Linked DNA regions of Drosophila melanogaster. The protein of the gene in region 2 binds, or shares a complex with, the protein of the main gene of each other region. Each region holds a gene or a part of one and is shown on either strand. Other genes may lie near its edges.

Evidence for each region.
Region 1: Gar1 (region 2) and NHP2 share a complex: the UniProt entries of both Drosophila melanogaster proteins name them as parts of the box H/ACA small nucleolar ribonucleoprotein (H/ACA snoRNP) complex.

Annotation. Positions count from the first base shown.
Region 1 is NT_037436.4:14,800,828-14,804,277, reverse strand, and holds NHP2 (NHP2), read left to right. Parts: upstream 1-2,109; 5' UTR 2,110-2,187; coding exon 2,188-2,438; intron 2,439-2,498; coding exon 2,499-2,730; 3' UTR 2,731-2,950; downstream 2,951-3,450. Other genes in the region: gnu (giant nuclei), read left to right, coding at 1,019-1,046, 1,105-1,799. UniProt on the Drosophila melanogaster protein: Component of the box H/ACA small nucleolar ribonucleoprotein (H/ACA snoRNP) complex, which catalyzes pseudouridylation of rRNA. This involves the isomerization of uridine such that the ribose is subsequently attached to C5, instead of the normal N1.
Region 2 is NT_033778.4:21,095,615-21,099,368, reverse strand, and holds Gar1 (Gar1 ribonucleoprotein), read left to right. Parts: upstream 1-2,063; 5' UTR 2,064-2,137; coding exon 2,138-2,327; intron 2,328-2,661; coding exon 2,662-3,042; intron 3,043-3,099; coding exon 3,100-3,242; 3' UTR 3,243-3,411; downstream 3,412-3,754. Other genes in the region: CG34396 (uncharacterized protein), read right to left, coding at 1-1,257. UniProt on the Drosophila melanogaster protein: Component of the box H/ACA small nucleolar ribonucleoprotein (H/ACA snoRNP) complex, which catalyzes pseudouridylation of rRNA. This involves the isomerization of uridine such that the ribose is subsequently attached to C5, instead of the normal N1.

The DNA.
Region 1 (3,450 bases), on a different chromosome or scaffold from region 2:
CTGTGCAAATTTTATAACAAAATGTAAAATTTTTTATGTTTTATGGTTAGGCATTTTCATAAAAAAAATTGTCAATTTTTACTCCAAGTGCTCTTTATGAATATTGTCATTATTGCACGCAAGAATTGTGAATTTTCGGCGTCATTAAATTAACTTAATTGATTATTTTCGTTAAATTAATTTGCACGTTTTGTGCAACAATTGTTTACATTTTATCGGTTCATCTGTTGACTGCCAATTCGCAAAAAAAAGATTTGTCGCAAAAACTTCGACGCAAAAACCGAAGCAAATCAAATCAAATCGCACCGCAAAAGTAACGACTGAAAAACTGGACAAACTCGCTTTAATTAGAAGCAAAATAATATTATGTAGACGGTATAAAAACGATATTTGGTACTTAGACATGTGAAATGGTAAATATTAATGCGTGGCGAGTTCCTTGAACTTTTATTCTAATTTATTTATTTCACCCAAATCACGAGGGTAAAGTCAGAGATTTAACAATAGCAAAAAAACATGGATATGAATATTCTAATGTGCCAGATTAACGTTTATTCTTAATCAATTATAAACAGGCACAAAAACCTTAACAGAAACAAAACACATTTTTATATAGTTTCTAAACTCTCGAGTTTTTTATGAATTATTTTTACTATTGTAGTTTACAATTAGTTATTAGGCATAATTCTTATATCATATTTTTAAGCACTTTGTGATAGTTGTGACTGTTGTTGAAATTTATTTTCTTGAAAAGAAATATACATATTGTAATTTAGATCTTAAAAACTCATTATATGATCTATTTTTAAGGATCGTTTTTCAGCACTGATCATGGTTCTATGACTAGGATTTTATGAGTTGCCTGATCACAGAATTTTCGGTAATTTTAACCGCTCTTAATGCGGTCGCATTAAAAAAGCAGTTAATTACAGTTAGTTGCATTTTGCAAATCTTATTGCACGTTTTTTTTTGTCGTCTTTTTTGTGCTCGTGGAAAATATTATTTGTAAAATTACCGAATGGAGCGCTACAATCGCGTCTATAGAGGTAGTATTGCTAATACTTTTGTAAACAAGTTTAAAATATATCCTTTAACTTTCAATAGATCCCGCATCCCCACTGACCCCACTCACTCCCCTCTCCACCGAAGCTTTTACATTCGAAGATGTCACGCCCACTGGAGGCGTTGGCAGGAAGGGTACCGCGAGATACGGACTCTTTGGAATGCCGAAGAACAATAATCTTACGGTTCCTAACAGTCGACCGGCATTGTCCGGGTTAAAACGACTATCGGAATCCACTTTGCCCCGTCGATTTTCACAGAAATTTATGCGCACGCGTTCCGTATTTTCGCCCACAAGTCAAAGTACCCTTATAAATGGGGAGACCAGGCTACTGGGAGAATCTGGAGATTCGAAACTACTGAGAACTAAGAGAGAAGACAGACCAAAGCCGGATATCCGACTGCAGCAGGAAACGCGGCTGAGGCAGGAGGAATCCAAGTTGAAAAGTGCGCGAAAGATTAAAGTGGAGGACCCAAGAAGTCCCACTCCCAGTATCCATCATTCACGCTATAAGCCCTGCTCCCCGGTGGAGCACCCCACTTTGAGTCCTCGGGTCAAATCCCTGCTCGATCGCACCGGAAACGCGCATCTCACAGAGCTGTTCACGCGCCAGGAGATCGACATCGAGGTGCTCATCCAAATGACCCTGGAGGACTTGGCGGCACTGGGCGTTCGCGGCGCCCGGGAGATCCGATTGGCCATGAATATTATCCAACTGGCCAAGCAATTCTTCTGATTTTATATCCTGTAGGATTTCTGCTAATTTTAAACTGTTTTATGTCATGTGGATTTGAATTTGTATGTGAGATTTTAATAAATGTTTAATGTGGTCTTGAAGTATTTTTGCGCGGTGATTGGGGCTTGGGATTGGAACTCTATTTTTAATTTAATATTCATTTAACATTAAGTAATAATTTTTCTCAGTGTATGAACTTAGCTAAAAACATTAGTAAAGTCACAAACCATAGAGTAAGTCGCATTAATCCATGTCTGAACGGTATTTATTTTAGTATATTTTTGCGGCACGCTAGTATGCTTCAAAAGTCGATCCGCGGTCACACTGAACACGTGTTTCGAACAAAAAGCCGTTTAAACAAAATATCCACGTTTTTATCAAAAAAGCAATGGGCAAAGTGAAAGTAGAGCGCTCCGAGGATGCCGATGAGTCCGTTGTGGCCAGCGGCGATGTTACCATCAAGGAGGAGGAGTCCTACGACGACAAGCTGATCTTTGTGAACGCCATCGCGAAACCGATGGCAGGTAAAAAACTGGCCAAAAAGTGCTACAAACTGGTGAAGAAGGCCATGAAGCACAAGACTTTCCTGCGAAATGGACTTAAGGATGTACAGACTCGCCTGCGCAAGGGCGAAACTGGGTAAGTGCTGCGTGATCCGTGACTGCAAGACAACAAGAAATATACCCACATCTTCTCCAGCATTTGCATCTTTGCTGGCGACGTTACACCTGTGGACATCATGTGCCACTTACCAGCCGTCTGCGAGGAGAAGGGCATCCCCTATACCTACACCCCCAGTCGAGCGGATCTTGGAGCTGCCATGGGCGTGAAGCGCGGTACAGTCGCCCTGCTGGTCCGCCAGAACGAGGAGTACAAGGATCTGTACGACGAGGTCAAGGAGGAGCTGTCTGCACTAAACATACCCGTCTAGATCTGTAGGATTAGTTCCATCGGCTAATTAAGTACCTAGTTAAGTTCAAAAAGTACCAATAAACTTCGGAGAATGCCGATTCTTTTGGCATCACGAAATCAATTTGATAAACTCTTGCATACGATTTTATAGTTTTCGTTGCTATATAAATTATAAGAGTCTAGGCAGATGGTGCTTACATATATCCTATAGCTGAATAAACAATTTTTTTTTAACTGCCAAATTAACTATTAACTTGTTCCCTCAATAAGCCAAGAGATCCTATATAGTAAGATATAGTAGTTGTTAGTTTTGTTAATAGAGATAGTTTCAAAACTGCTGATATGGAAATGGATAATTGCAAGACAGTAATTTCGAAACCAGTTAAGATGGAGTGACACAGCCGGCAAAGGAAACCAAAAGTGCAAGATTTTTTTTTTGCTGTCCCTTGGGGATCTTTTTTGTTTTCTCTTTTTTTTGGGATTTTTTATAAGTATTTTCAGCGTAGCTGGTTTCATATAAATTGTTTTACATATACAATACAGTTGAAATGGAGGATTTCGTTAGGCTTCTGGTTTCTGAATCTAAATCTGTTTCTTTTCATTTTCTGTTCTCGTGGTGCTCGATGTGTGGTGTTTGCTATTATTATTATTTTTTAGTTAGTTGCTGTATGTGTGTGGTGTCTAAATTTACATATAATTTAACACTAAATGTGTTCGTGTAGCAATGCAATGTATGCAA
Region 2 (3,754 bases):
GAGCTCTTGAGTTACCTGTTCCTTTCTTTCCAAACTGCCCGATCGCTTGGGTCTTAGTGGACGCTCCAAACTGGAGCTGCGCTTTTGAGGCTTCTCTTCCTTATCCGCTAATCTCAAGCTGTGACTGCGACGCACTCCCTCCGCCGTCAGGATTTGCTCCGCCAGGGCGGCCTCCGCTTTTGCCGCCCGCTCAGCGGCCTCCATGTACTTTTGCATCAGCTCCGACTGCTGTTCTGCCTCCGAGATGCGGGGCTTTATCACCTCGTCTCTGGACTCGCCCACCTCCAAGTACTCGTGCTTCCGGAGGATCTCCTCCCGTTGCTCCGGAGTCTTGGATCGTCGCTGTGGTCTCACGGGCGACAGGGAGTTGTTGCGACTCACAGACAGCCTTTCCGGTGGTTTTGGAGCTGTCGACGCCGATGGCGGCGGTGGAGGTGCGCCGCGGATTGGGGCTGCCACAAAGCCCTGGGGAATCTTAGGTGCTCGGGGCCGCGGGTGAGTCTCCTCCGTCGCATCGGCATCGGAGGAGCTGAACTGGGTGGAGGACTCATCGTAGCCGCTACTTCGATTGCGACCCCGAGTCTTGGGCGCCTCGTGTCGCTGCAGACGCAGGCTGTGGATGAGGCGGCGCCGTTCCTCCTCGTCCTGCGGCAGCTGGATGCGATCGCTGAGCTTGCGGTAGCTCTGCAGGAGGCGCTTGCGCTCCTCGTTGTCCAGCTGCTGGCGATGGCGCATCTTGTGCTCCCGCTTCTCGCGCTCAAAGAGCCTCTTCTCGGCCTCGAAACGCCGTCGTTCGTCCTCGAAGCGCTGCAGATTCTGCTCCAATCTGCTTAGCGTATCCTGTGTCTGGCCAAGATTAGGAATGGGCCTTTGCTGCTGACTACTGCTGCCGGTGGTCAGCTCACTCTCGCTGGACTCCTCCTTGTGCCGCGGCGAGGAGAGGCTGCGATGCTTGATCAGATGATTGGCATCCGGACTACTCAGCTTCTCAGCCTCCCGTGGCTGCGATTGACTACGCGCCGAGGAGCTGGCGAAGGACTTGTCCCGCTTTCGCAGGATCTTGCTCTCGTGGGCGGACATCGAGCCGGGTGGCCTGATCTGCATGCGCACCATCTGAGGTGATGGATCAGGGAGGGCATCCGGACTGGCATCGTCCTGGGGCAGGGCGTCTCCAGTGACGGGCGTCGGTTCCCGGTGGCTGCGACCCAGGCGCCTTCGATGGCGCTGCTGCTGCCTGGCGTCCATCGGCTGCTCCATCTTGTCCAGCCGCAGTCGTGTGCTACTTTCGCGATCTATCTTTGTGCTCGTGCTCGTCATTTAGCCATCTATTAATCTATTTTTAACTGCCCAACGAGGCGTTCATATTCCACATATGAAAATATGCCTCGGGTAATTATATCACTTTCGATTGCAATTTCGTATTATATGTATGTATTGTGCACTTTCTGAAACTTTTAAAGTCTGCACTTGTCCGAAAATTTTTGAAATTATTTTGCTATATTATCTATTTGCATATAGAATTTTATGTATCTGCTTCTTTCGACGTCGCGACACGATCGAATAGATTTAGCTTCTATTTCTCGCTTCCTCGTCCACGGCTGGCATCCAACTGCTCTCAGCAGTTGGAGAAAATTCAAATATTCATTTTCACTTTGCTTGTCTATATTTTTGGTAGATGTCTCAACAGCTGTTCGGCTATAGATATCTATATATATATATATCTATAATGCATCCGATGATGTTTTTGATGATTCTCTCTTACTCAATGTTTTATGTTCTCTTAGTGAATATTTAATGCTTATAAAAAAAGCACCAGGAATTTGTCTTAGTTAAACGATCTTCATTAAAACTATTCATATGCATAAAAAAATAACTGTTTTTAAAAAAAAAGACTAAGAAATTAATAATCAGGTCGATTGTTAAAAATAGTTTTAAATAATTTTATTGAAATAGAAGTTTCAAAAAATCCGCCCCTTGTGCCTAGTGTGACCGTATAATATACAACCGTATATACTGAAACACATGGCCGTGGCTATCGATAAGTCGATAACGAAATTTGAATTTCTTCCGTCTCTAAATATTTTGGTTGATCGGAACGCGCACGTGTTTTTGCGTTCAATTTTAATAATATTTGAAAATGGGATTTGGTAAACCTCGTGGCGGCGGTGGCGGCGGCGGAAGAGGCTTCGGTGGAGGCGGAGGCGGAGGAGGACGAGGATTTGGTGGAGGTGGAGGTGGACGAGGAGGTGGCGGAGGACGCGGAGGTGGCGGCGGATTCGGTCGAGGTGGAGGTGGACGTGGTGGCGGCCGTGGAGCCTTCGACACTGGTAAGTGAATGAAAGTCGCCAACTATTCCTATAACTAATCATCCAAACTAAGCTAGCCTGTGAACTAAGGCTAACTACGTCACTTAAAACAAGCAGTTAATACAGATTGTGCGAATAGAATTACAATAACCACGTTGTTCTCTCAAATTTTGAATAGCCAAGCCGTTGTAGGCTATAATCATGGGCTATATATATAAATATATTAGCTAAAAACACATCTGGAAGTCTCCTATAGGTATACGCTGTCTTAAATGCTTGCTATGTTCAGGCAAATTGCCAAATACTCATTTCCATTTTGTCACTTTAATAATATATCTTATTTTTTTAATTGTAGGTCCACCAGAGAGAGTCATCCCCTTGGGCAACTATGTTTACTCCTGCCAAAACGACCTTGTGTGCAAAGTTGATATTCAGGATGTTCCCTACTTCAACGCGCCCATTTTCCTTGAAAACAAGGAGCAAGTAGGCAAAATCGACGAAATCTTTGGAACAGTTCGGGACTACAGCGTGTCCATCAAGCTGTCGGACAACGTCTACGCCAACAGCTTCAAGCCAAATCAGAAACTGTTTATCGACCCTGGAAAGCTGTTACCCATCGCCAGATTTCTGCCGAAACCTCCACAACCAAAAGGCGCCAAGAAAGCCTTCACAAATAACCGAGGTGGAGGCGGCGGTGGCGGTGGATTTGGAGGCCGAGGTGGCGGCCGCGGAGGAGGTAAGATAGTGAATTTCATGAGTGCACCCCAAAGTCCTAACTTGTGTTTATCAACAGGTGGTCGCGGTGGTGGCGGCGGACGAGGTGGAGGCGGATTCCGAGGAGGTGCTGGTCGCAATGGAGGAGGTGGCGGCGGCGGCGGTTTTAACAGAGGACGAGGAGGCGGTGGCGGCGGCGGCGGTGGTCGGGGTCGGTGGTAGTTTTCAGTATCAGATCCTAATCAAAACATTTAAAGAAGTGTACAATCCAATTGTTGTACATGTCCAAATAGTTTCTAAGCAAAACCTCATCATTTGGGTATTGTTCGCTGACCAATCAATCGAATATTGTACCATAAATGATACTAAAATAAATTTCCTACAAATTTACAAACATGATATAACTGAAAACATATAGTTAATTGAAGTTTAAGTGATATTTTATCATTTATGAAGACAGTTAATTAACAATAGAATGTCAAACATTTGCTCACTTATTGAGAAGATAGTGGTTTATAACGAAAAATGGTTTTGTGTGAAAATAATACATTTGATTAGAGCACCTTAATGATTTATATGAAGTGGTTGCACAACTATCATCGTCTAGAATTTGGGGATCAATAATGTATCGACTTTATGAGAGAATCGCACTCATCCGAATTCCCTTGAAATTTTATGAATTCTTCGAGGTTTGTTTAAAATGCCCAATACTATTCGGTATGGGGGTTTCCTTC